3 linked regions of the Arabidopsis thaliana genome follow. The protein of the gene in region 2 interacts with the protein of the main gene of each other region in a pairwise test. Each region holds a gene or a part of one and is shown on either strand. Other genes may lie near its edges. The genes, in order: LBD16, BBX12 and BBX29.

Region 1 (4,337 bases), 3.5 Mb from region 2:
TACCAATTAAAATTAAAAAATTTAATGATTTTAATGTCTTGTGAATAAAGTCAACCCCTTGGATGCGCGCCGCACACGTCTACAATTATTAGGAAAGGAAATTTAGTGAATCCTTAAACAAAGTCATACAAGGTGATGGAGCTCAGTCTACTACATTACACAGAAGCATTTTTATTACTAACCTATAAAATTTATATATCCTACATATTATTTTCTCTTTACTCGCGTGACATTACTTCTTTCTTTGCTTGGTTTTATATTATCCATCGAATATGGATTTATATATAATGTCGAGTGACCTCGATTAGTTACTTATAAACTCTTTTTTTGTTGTGGGTAATCAAAAAGCTTATGATAAGGCATTGAATACGTGAATATCAGATTAGTCAAATATAAACATCTATATTGATAAACAAATAAAGCCATATGAACTAAACAAAACCATATATGAATTCCATGATTGTTGAATATTTCTTTTCTTTTAGAAGATTTGTAATATTGATCGATCATGACTAAATGATCATTTCTGTTTCAATTCTCCGTTCAACAATTGGTATTCTTTCCAAAACAAATTATCAGATTTATCGGTTCAGCTAAACCGATTAAAAAAATTACTGTCAAGTCAAATATTTCAGTGATTGATCAATGGCCAGTGACTTAAAGCAAACATGGATGTGTAGTAGACATCTTATTGATGATAGCATGTGAACATGGAATGTTCTATTGTCTTGTTTTTTTTTTCTTCGAATAAAAACATCTCATTTGTTCTCTGACTGTCTACATAACTTACCAACTTATCTTAGTTCTTCATCATTCTAAGAGCCAAAGCCTGAAGCTCACCTAAATCGCTACTACAATAACTCACTGATCTCTTCTTGTTAGGATATCCTTCGTGAAACCCTATTCCATCGTGACCGTATACTCCTCCTCCGGTTTGATGATGAGTCTCTCGCACGTTGGCTGTTGTGGTGACGTCACTGCTCGTGTTGCTGAAAGATTCTTCTAGCGAGCTCTGTGGCGAGACCGGATTGTTAGGGTTTACATGACCGTAGTAAGGTTGATGATGGTTATACGGTGTTGAGTATGCACTACCGATCGGAGAGACACTAGTTTGTTGCCACGTCATAAACTGGTTGGTACTTTCCGAGCTGTGTCTTAGATCTCCGGCGGCTGACGTCTGGTGGCCAGCTATCTGTGCCTTCATTTGCATGACTTGTGATTGCAAGAAAGCCACCTATATAAACGCATCAAACGCTAAGTTAAACAAGATTGATTCCAATTCTATTCATAAGTTGTAAGATCATTTACTAAAAAGAAAAAAAAAAGTTGTAAGATCATATGTAGACGAATTAGTAAAGGCTTCTTCGTTTATTGTGAATATGTATGTTTTATAGTCTATTTTTCTTCATTGAAATTGATGTTTTGTGCCAAAAGAAAATGAAATGTTTTTATGTAAGTCTATTTGGTATATCTAAATGTTAGCACATATATAATTTCATATTCCTAGAATAGTAAATGCATCAGTATAAATATGTTTACTTTTGTAAGCGTTTCATTAATATGCAAAAAATATTCAAAACATCAATTTTCATGAAACGGAAAGAACATGTACAGTGTCGTTTACTCAAGATTTTGGCGAATCGAAAATGACAAACATAAGAAATGAAAACATCATGACAAATATTTATTGGAAAACTGATTATTTATCGTTGTAACGTTTTCTTAAAACTAAATTATTAAAATCTCAAACTTTAATTTTAAAAAAAAATTAGGCAAAGCAAAAAGGAAGAAAAGCCCTAATGTGAAAACAAAAGAAATGATGGGAAAAGAAGTTGTTCCTAGCTAATTCATCAAGATTCAGAGAACATTCGATCTCATGCAGGAAATATCATACGAGTCAACCACCACATAAATTCCGTTAGTAACTAAACAAAAAGTCTATAAAGACCGATGGAGCACTACCGATTTACTCGGTCAATTACCTGTTGTTGGAGGGCAAAGATATGAGAGACACATCCATAAACAGGGTCATGAAGACGAGCCTGAGCTTCGTAGGCGATGGTGACGACAGCTTCACATCGATCATGGATTGGAACATTAAGCAAGAGCTTAGAAACGTTGCTTGCTCCAAACACCTTGTGAATAGCTGCGAATCTTGCTGCTCCTTGCTCCGATGAGAAGTACGGTGCAAATATACAATCGGATGCGCACTTCCTCCTCAAGAACTTGCATGCACCGCATGGTGAACCTGTCCCCGCCGTTGTACCGTTACCGGAAGATGCCATCGGCGAAACGAACAAAAAAGTGATGATTTTTATGTTATATGTACAAAAAGAAAGAAGGGGTTTCCTTGTTTTAAGTACTTTTTTTTTTGTTGACTGGATATTTTGAAGAGATGTTGAAAAGATTGGAAGAAGTGATGATTTTAGAATTGGGATCGTCGGAGATGTGCACGAGCGAACTAGGAAATGGTGATGGTGGAAAAAGAACAAGAAATGAAATGATGATGGAGAAGTGTTTGGTGTCTTTGGGTGGATTTTATAAAAGGAACATTATCATGAGAGAGAAAGAGTTTTTTTTTTTTCTTTTCTTTCTTGGGCATACTAATTTAAAATGTTCACTCAATGATCAAATTTACAATCACATATAAATATCTAATATGATACTATTTTAATTAGTTATTTTTGGTCTACCATATTGTGTCATCTCTGAATATAAAATACTTTAATTCTCCATCACTAAAGTATGAGCCATACTTATCGTTTCGTTTATAAATTGTAATATATAATGAAACTACAATCCATTTGCCCAAAGAAAAACAAACTGACACTATAATTCCAATATCACAATATTTTTCGACGTCCTTTTATGGAGTTTAGACTATAGTAAAATTGCTTACACGACGAATTTTATGCTATAGTGGGTGTCTTTAATTATATGTGTGGTTTTAGTATAACAACCAAAATTGGTTTGCACTTTGCAAGTTTGAAACTCAAACAACATTAAAGAAATAAATTTGACATTTGAGGAGAAGCCACATAGAAACACTATATTTAGTCGGTAGATAGATGATGAACTAAAAATCAGTATCAAAGTGTATACGAAGAATAGCCTAGTCTATAAATAACAACAGTTTACTCAACACAAATAACATCTACTGAGATTCTGGTTCTTACAAATAAAATGAATGCAATTAATGTCCAAATTTATCGAGTGAGCCAAAGGGTGTGAATGGTAGACAATGGAGGGTCACATGTTGGATTCTAAGGAGACAATCAATAATGGAGACTGCAACATGAGACTTCTAATTTATTGGGTTTTAATATTATATTTACAATTATTGGATTTCAATTTAATTAGTCCAACTTCTTTTTCTTTTCATTCGTGGATTTGTATAGAAAAATATCCATATTTTTAGTAATGAGGTAGTCTTAGGTCTTCTATCACTTTATCTCGTATTATTTTATACCCGGATACGTTTGGTTCTTGGAGCTTCAAAGCAAACTCAATTAATAATCAATTTTGTCTATCTTCTTTCATTCATTCTTTATTTTTATTTTAATTTTAGAAAAGTTATTTTATAAGTTCTTCCGCCGAACGCCGGACATCGGAACTGCTGCTGTTTGTCGTGAAGTGTGGGGACCGGATGAACCGGCAAATGCCGGTAAAGATGTACCGACAAATGCTAATGCCATGAATGTATTTGAAGCCCATTTATGTAAGTATAATTGTTAAATGCGTAATTATAAGCTAATTAAACTCCCTTTATGACAAAACAAACACTAAAGCTCGTAATATTGATTGATCGTGCTGGATCTGCTTAGGTGGCTTAGGAATATTTGGTTACATGGAGTGAGTATGTAGCTGGTACAGACTAGGATTCAAATCACCTGAGGAGATTATTAGAATTTAATATGTTACAAAAAAAAGTATTAATATTATGTACTTACGGATTTTGCACACGAGAGAAATCGTGTGATTCAATTAGGATTAGTGTACGCATGTGACTTTCTTCACTTAGTGCTCGTGTACTTTAAAAGTTACTCGGATATGGTTATAGTTGGTAAGTTTGTTATCATGTAAATAAAAAAAAATCAAATAAGCAACCGAAAATTTGAGAAACAAGACCAAATTAACTATAGTTTCATTTTTTTTCTCAACTACAGTCATGTTATCAAACTTGCAAATGAGTTAGCTGAATTATATTTAGTGAAATAAAATCATTTTTATGTATTTCATTTATGTGCATGAACCATGCTAAGCCATTTTCTAATCGTTTTAATTTTATTGGATGTTCCAGAAAAAAAAAAAGATAAATTCAAATCAATATCGGCTGA
Region 2 (4,599 bases):
GCAACCTTAGAGCATCAGATTTAGATATGTCTAAGACAAGTCTGGGCACTAAAAAGTTAGGCACTCCCTCGCCTCCTTTAACCCCAATGTCATTGATCCATCCACCGCCACAGGCTCTTCCCGAACGTGCAGACCACCTAATGATGTCCAAACAAGAGGTAAACCATTAATTTTACTTCTTTTCACTGTCTATTAGTTTTTTGTGTGGTTTAGAGTAAAAAAGTCATCATGTGTGTCACGTTTAAGTAGATGTGGGCAATCCGATTTTTGGTTCCCTTCATGTGTTCCGCAAAGTTCTGCTTAAGTGTAAAATCTAGAATTGCTGATATACGTTCTAATTGGTGAATTTGCAGAGGAGGATTTAAGATGTAAGGTGTAAGACGTTTGTAGCTGCCTAAAAACTGTAGGAGGAAGGCATTCCCTATAGTTGCAGATATATGTAAATATCCTCCAATTTTTAGTCTCATGGATGATCTTAGTTGTATATTACATATAGTAGTTGATCCCTTTTGAGAATGATGACAAAAATAGAGGCAAACAGAGTTAATAATAATTGCCTGAGGAATTTTGGTTTTTCTACTATCACTCAACGAAGCTTTTTTTTTTTTTTTTGTCCAGTGATGTGACATGTTTTACGTCCGAGATTTACGGGTTTAACTTCTGTGGAGTCTGTCTTCTTTTGATTGGGTTAAGAAACTTTGCTTCTAGAAGGTTAAACGTAAAAATTACAAAAATCTGGCCACACATTATGCAGCTGAAGATCGATCATTTACATTTACAAGGTAGTTGAAAGTAGAAAAAACAAAAAAAGTTCCTAACTTAGGATCTCAAATGTAAAACCTAACGTGGAGAGACATCTAAGGATCTGTAGCTTTCACAAATCTGCCCTTAACACGCAACCTGGTCTCGGCTCTCGCCTTCCTCGTTTCATATCTTATGGTCTTATCATATCTGCTGAAGCAATTACAAATTAGCGATTTCGAAAGACAATCAACTTACAAAAGGGAAACTAAAAGAAAAAATGGAGAACATCATTACCTCCGCGTTTTCTTCTTTTCCTTGTACCGCTGCATAGCATTATCTCTGTTCTGTGCCATCTGCTCTAGATCAGCATTCGTTACCGCCACCAATCTTGTGGCTCTATTACTAGTAATAGCAATATGTTCCGTGCAATGCAAGCCACAGGAGTCGTTAGAACTTTTATGCGAGTGAATGGCAGCAGGAATATTGTTGCTCTTAGATGTTTCCTGTCCCTTGGTAGAAGTTGAGTGGACGGAATCCTCCTGCTACATTCTACTTATAAGTATCACAGTTCACCGACAAAGATATACCAAAAATAGTAGTTTGACTTATCAATTATGATATAAATACATCAGGTTTCATTCATTCCAAGATGTTCTAACCAATAGAAATAAACCCATGAGATGTAGCTACTACCAGACCAGTATATCAGTCACCAACTTAAGCTATATATGAGGGAATATTCAAATGTTTAAGGTATGGAGTGTTTTGGGATTGAATTTAGGGATCGGGGGAGTTTATTGTCTATAGAACAAACTCTAATTACGTTCTGCAATGTGCGTTGTGTTTGTCAATTTGTGAGATAAATAAAATGGTTTACAATTCCAAACCTAATAACAATGTAATACCTGGTAACTCTCTTTGAAAGCATTCATATTGGTGGTTCGGGTATCGTTCTTGAGATGAGTAACGTTGTTGAATGTGAAAGTAGAGCCTTTAGTTTCGACTGGACTAGGTTCATCAGGGTTCCTCGACTGTCCCAAGTTAAAATCCCATATCTGCAACAACGTATATTCCACTGTGAACCCCAGGCCATAAAACAGAGTCTTATCTCTAATTAGGACAACCAAGAAAGAATAATCAACGTTCCGACAGGTAACTTAACAGATTTGGAGACCTAAAGATCCAACTGAAGTTACTGTAACATGTTCTAAGCACAAAAGCAAGAACACATGACCAAACTTAAAACCCTAAAATCAATTGCCAGAGAGAGATAGAGAAATGGACCTGAGTGTTCTGGCCAGTGCTATGATTAGTAGCATTCCATTGCATACCATTACCACAAAGACTTTGAGACATAAGCAAAGAAGTAAACGACGTCGTCGGAGATGGCTGAGAAATGCTTCCTCCGCCATTGATTCCCTCCGGAACCATAATCTCTCCTTCGCCTTCAACGAAGCCTCTCTTCAGTAACTCAAGCTGTTCAAACACTACCTGCTTAGACCTCCCAAAGCTAAAGCTTTGCTTTTTGCAAGACACATCATAAGGAACAATCAGTTCTTGAACGATGTTAGATCCAGAACCCCACGAATCCAACCCCATCCCAAAATTCTTAGTCAATTCGTCTTCGTCATCTTCTTTCTTCTTACCCTTTAAATCGATTCCCCACACAGCAGCAAGCTCCAAAACCGAAGGACAACCTGAAAACCCTTCCACGGCGGAGCGTTCATGCGTCGCGGAGGAGGAACAGCTTCCGTGAACATCCCAATCACACTCCTGACACAATACGAGATTATCTGTGAAGCAACGTACGGACACCGGCTCTTTGCTACAGTTATCACAGATCTGAGAACGAACATGCTTCCTCGAGAGAAGGTTCGCCGAGTGCACGTGCTGGTCACAAGGCAAACAAAGCTTCGCCGTATCGGCTCTACAAAACAGAACCGCCGTTCTCTCGCCGCAAAATTCACACGCCACCACACTCTCTGTAGTAGAAGTACCCATTTTGTGTTTAAGATGGTACCTTCACAATCCCTTAAAATCTCGCTGATTTTATACAGTGGAGAATAAGATCAAGATGACGAAAGGTGATGAAGTGATCGATGGAAGAAGAAGAAGATGACATAGACATAATCTCAAAGTCTCAAGCTTTCGGTTTTGCAGTGAAAGGAGAAGAAGAAGATGTCATTAATTGAAAATATCTAACTGTTGTACCGGAAATAAAGTTGCATTTACATAGGTAATTAATTACTTGAGAAATAATTGGCTGCATTACAGTGTATGGATTTAGGCACATTAATTGGCTGCCTTTCTTTCAGATCCACGCACAAGGATTTTAGCCCATGTTTCTGCTAAGCCCAATTCTAAGCCCATTATTTGGATGGGACGTTAGGATGTTAACGACATGATCGATAAGGAGAATATTTCACATGTACGAAGTTTACTAACTCGTAAATCGTTCCAGATGATCATTATTTGGCAATTTAGAAAACAAATAAGTCAATATATATATACTAGGAACATATCCTAAATCCAGCCATGAATTCACACCAAGTATCCAAATATCCAAAAATCTTGCAAGTTCTGTTGTAGCACATCTTGAAACATTGTGCAATGTCATTTTGAATGTCAATAACAACATTCTATTTTTGACATTGGTATCTTGGTAACGAGATTGCTTTCTTGGTCTCTTTTAGAAAGGTTATTATCTTTTAGTCGAATATCAATAACATATCTCTAAGAATTGTCCAAAACTCAAGATGTTTGTCCATAGGTTTGGAATATAGTAAACGTTGGAAATAAATTACTGATTTCCACTTTTCAATCGGATGAGGATGTGTTTTTTACCTTTTACATCCATCTTTGATTCATCTCTTAAAGCCATGTTTTCTCTCATTGATTCATCAAGCTCAGCGAACATAATTTTCCTCCCACACATGTGTCGCTTTCACCTATGTGACAAATCATTATTGGTTGTGTACTTGTGTTGTTATATGAATAGAAGATGAATGGTGTTACAATCATTGCCCATTATGTGGTGCGAGAAACAAAACATCCAACCTTTGCTATTTTCCTATGCCCTAAGGTTTTTTCACATGTTACTTAGCTATTATGTGTTTCAAACTCACTTGGAATGGATATTCTATATTCTTACTTTTACGAATTTTGATTCTTTATTATGTAGAAAACCTACAGAAAATCACGTTGTAAATTCGGTTTCGAAACCATAAAGGACTTCAATATTCAACTATTCTTTAACAAGTGAACTTTTATCATCTATATCACTTAAATCTTTATTCTCTATATCACTTGAATTCATAATAGAGAAACGAAAATTTAACTAAACACAACCTTTAAAGAACCCTTAAAAAGTAATTAAAAAAGAAGGAAAGTGAATTATACTAAACAAAAGATTATGTTAAAATTCGGATTCTTAAAAATCTTCTAGGGAAAAAAAAGCAAAATGGAATATGGATTCGATAAGGAAGGAAGGAGAGGAGACCCACACACAAGAACAGAGTGACAGACACAATTTGGCGTCTCTTTCGATCTGAAACATCTCTGTCTCTCCTCAGAGATTCCCTTCTTAGGTCCCATTGTCTCTCTTTCTGTATATTACAACTCTTGCAAACCTTTCTACCACCAAGATAAAATTATTATTTGGTAAAAAGCAATATCTTTAATTTTCTAGGAAAAAAGAAAGAAAGAACAACACTGGATTGAAGTGGTCGTCGCTTTCTCTTTCTACACTTCCAACAGATTCCCTTTTGCACTTCTCTCTTTCACTCTTTTCACTATTTTTGTTTTATCATTATTTTGTTTACGGAAACGTCATTTTCCTCCAGACAATACCTTTAT
Region 3 (3,642 bases), on a different chromosome or scaffold from region 2:
AATTTAAATAAATAAAATATCTGGTAGACATTCGCCGTCCAATTCTCTAACTACCATGAATTGAATTACTGTATACTGTATTTATCATATACGATCAAGAAACCAAAAACTTGGATCTTCTCATTTCTCACAAAACAAATAGATTCAAAATTAGAAATAAAACCAATTTATTTAGTTACATATAAATCATGAGAGCATCATTTTTTATTTTTTTGGAGCTTCGAACACGGTTTAGATACAAAAGACACGATGGGTTCAAAGCGTTTGACAAATAAATTTTTTTTAAAAAAACTTTAAAGGAGGACCCCATGGTACTAAATATCTTCTTTTTTCTAAGTCTTGACAACTTTTTTGTTTGATTCTTTTTAGTGGTCGTAGTTACAATTTACAAAGCTAACGGACATTCATACGTTATGTACTCTTCAGTTGTAACATCACAATGACACAGACACTTCTAGTTCTGGGAAGGCAAATAAAATTGACATCATAATAAATTTTGGTTTTGGCTGGTAATCCTTCTCACGTTATAAATTTATAATAATATCTCTTGTTTCACTAATTAATTTTCTTAATCATTTTCGTTAAAAAATAAATAAATAGAAAACAGCTTCATTTTCTTAATCATTTTCTGAACAACTTTGCTTCATTTTATTTTTTATGTTATATGATTTTATACTAGACATATGAACATATATATTCTAGGTAACACAGAAAAAAAAACACAAAAAAAAATCATTATATTGAAATGTTTTTAAACTAACTCAACTCACTAAAAGTATTGTTGTTAGTAAATGAACGATGAGGATTAATCTAATCAACCAAACAAAAGAATCATCAACGGCTACAATCTCTACTTTCCTTGGCGATTTCAATAAAACGAAGACGACGATGATGTATCACATCCCTCTGCTTTTCTCCTCCCTCCGTGTAATTTCACGATTGAGCTATTCATCACAACAGTTGATCTTGACAAACCTTCGTCTCTCGATAATCTTTTCAATGGTCTAGATTGGTTCTCCTCCTGCATTTCAAAAAGAATTGTTTCAGATTTCTTAATCATTTCCTAATAATAAAAGAAGATAAAGAAAAAGATTCATATTCATACATCGGAGAGGTTAAGATCCAAATCAAGTCTCGTCCTTTTCACCACCTGATCTCCTTCACCACTACTAACCGAAGACGACGAACTCACCACCGGAAGTTCTTGCTCCACCGCAGCCGGAACAACCTGATTCTCCACTTCTTCTTCTTCTTCATCCTCATCGCTTTCCTCATCATAAGACTCAGCTCCGTCGTTACAACCAATGATCTCTTCTTCTTGGTTAAGATTCTGATCCCTCCCGGCGAGGGAGCTGTTGTTATTCTTCTTACGAGCTAAACAAGACTCACAGATAGAAACAGTTGGGCCAAGATTCAGCCCAGAAGCTTTCCAAGGCGTGTGTGACTGACACGCGCTACATAGAAGACAACGCATGTGTTTCGCCACCAGAAAATTAGCTCCGTGAACTTTACCGTCACAATCCCAACATAAACTCGCTTGATCTGACTCACAATACATTCTCGCTACACCACAACATAACTCGCACTTCTTCTTCCCCATCTCTAGATATTATCTCGCACAACCACAACCACAAGCTCTCTCTCTATGTCTATCTCTGTCTCTAGATGTTTGTGTGTTATAAATATTCTTGGTAAGGTCTTTTGCTTCTCTCTCTTCTCTCGTTTCTTCTGCGGACACGAATAAGAGACAGCGTAATAGAGAATTGTAAAATGAGAATTTCGTGGCGACTTTTATGTGATTTAATTCTTTTCGAGGATATTGTCGTCTTTTTGATATTAACGAAACGATTTTTCACGTAATTTTTTAATGAAATGCAAAGAAGCTTCCTAATTTTAAATTAGAATAAGATTAAAGGATTCGTTCAAACTTTAATTTTTATGGTGGATAATTTGTGGATAATTTTGTATTAGTAGTTCTAAATCTGTGTTTGAAATTGATTAAGGTTTCCGCGGCTGAGTATTATTCTCGAATTCTTAAATTTAGGAGAGATGATAATAATAATAAAAATTAAAGGAAATGTTGTTATTTACTTGGTCCTGAAACCATGTACTGGGACAAGGCTCTCCTATGGGCGAAGTCTTACGTGTCGAGATATTATTCGTTTTATGTTTCATCAGATATTTTTATGCGGTTAGATTTTTAGTTAATGACGTGGCGAGATATTAGCCTCGTATAGAGGAGAGGGAAGATTCTGAGTTATCCTACGTGGACGAATCAGGTTCTGTAATAGACTTAGAACCACGTGATCCGCACCTGGGATTTGTCTGGTCCTCAATACACGTCTAATGGGTCCACTCTTTTTTCTTTCATTTTTTACTTTTTTCAGTATTCCTCTCTCGTTCCGGTCCAAGCGTTTTGTTTTCGAAAATGAAAAGTGAATTAAATATCATTTATATCGTTGGTATTACGGTAGGATAATAATGATGATCGGATTTTTAATATCGCATTTTGGGTTCGGAAATTTTGGTGTCCATGAATCAACATGGTTACTAGGAGAAGAACCTAATTTTATGATTTTATCAACCACTTTTAGCGTTCCATATTTTACATAATTCGAGTTAAATGTCTTTTTCTCTAAATAAAAATAAATAAATAAATCCAACCACTAATTTTACATTTTTACTTCACATCATTGGCAATTCGATATATTACTTGTTATTTGCTAATGGTAATTAAAAAGAATATAGAATATATATTTGAAAAATTATTAAACCTGGATTAAAAAAATGAAAGGTATTACGAATTTTTATCTAAAAAACAGGATAGATAGATAGCTAAGAAGCTTGTAGTTAGACAAATATTTTTTGTCATTTCAAATGTTTACAGTTGTGAGTTTTTAAAAGAAAATCACAACGATTTTTGTATGATAGAGTTTGATCTGTGGTTTTGATCCATAGAACAAACTAATTCATCTATGATCAAAGATGAATTAATTTGATTATTTGTATTCATTTGATCAAAGGAATTAATTTGTATCACGAAATCGAGATTAAGACTAGCAAAGATGGATTGAAAGTCATTTTAGGATAACAAATAATACGTAAAATATATATAAGAACAAAAAAAATGGTAAAGTTGGGCCTACGTAACATGCTTGAGAAATTTTTACGTGGCGAAGATTAGTGGTGTAAAGGGTGAAGTGTGAATTGTGAAGAATCAAAGGAACACGAGATGTCTTCATTTGAGAGCCACATGCATTAAAAAAGCGCTGATGAGTGGAGGTGTTTTGAGTTTTATGGTTTTTTGTTTTTTTACTTTTAAATGTTTGTGGATGACAACTTTAGAACAACTTAGAAGAAGCCTCGAATCAATACACATCTATCTTACGAATTACTCCTTATTTTTTGTTAGTTCTTTTCCATTTATGTTTTCTTTTGCAAGTTTCTTTAAAGATTTATTAAAAAGAGAAGTGGATTACAAATTTACAATAGAAATTGTTAAATTTGTTCAGTATGGGTGATCAACCCAATTATAATAATTTTAAATTTTTTTGTTGATAAAAATACATATTATTTACATTTTCAACATAAATTCTATCAAATTATATGATTTATATATATGTACACTAAGATTTTATTCAT

What was found.
Region 1: the proteins of BBX12 (region 2) and LBD16 interact in a two-hybrid assay, tested with the Arabidopsis thaliana proteins (one large-scale study listed by BioGRID).
Region 3: the proteins of BBX12 (region 2) and BBX29 interact in a two-hybrid assay, tested with the Arabidopsis thaliana proteins (one large-scale study listed by BioGRID).

Annotation. Positions count from the first base shown.
Region 1 is NC_003071.7:17,661,616-17,665,952, reverse strand, and holds LBD16 (lateral organ boundaries-domain 16), read right to left. Parts: upstream 2,601-4,337; 5' UTR 2,286-2,600; coding exon 1,983-2,285; intron 1,235-1,982; coding exon 800-1,234; 3' UTR 616-799; downstream 1-615. UniProt on the Arabidopsis thaliana protein: Transcriptional activator. Involved in lateral root formation. Regulated by the transcriptional activators ARF7 and ARF19. Functions in the initiation and emergence of lateral roots, in conjunction with LBD18, downstream of ARF7 and ARF19.
Region 2 is NC_003071.7:14,187,302-14,191,900, forward strand, and holds BBX12 (B-box type zinc finger protein with CCT domain-containing protein), read right to left. Parts: upstream 2,954-4,599; 5' UTR 2,746-2,953; coding exon 2,029-2,745; intron 1,800-2,028; coding exon 1,650-1,799; intron 1,287-1,649; coding exon 1,039-1,286; intron 952-1,038; coding exon 858-951; 3' UTR 622-857; coding exon of another isoform or gene 619-621; 3' UTR 613-618; downstream 1-612. Other genes in the region: AT2G33490 (hydroxyproline-rich glycoprotein family protein), read left to right, coding at 1-158, 354-365.
Region 3 is NC_003076.8:22,113,716-22,117,357, forward strand, and holds BBX29 (B-box type zinc finger family protein), read right to left. Parts: upstream 1,825-3,642; 5' UTR 1,601-1,824; coding exon 1,106-1,600; intron 1,022-1,105; coding exon 869-1,021; 3' UTR 589-868; downstream 1-588.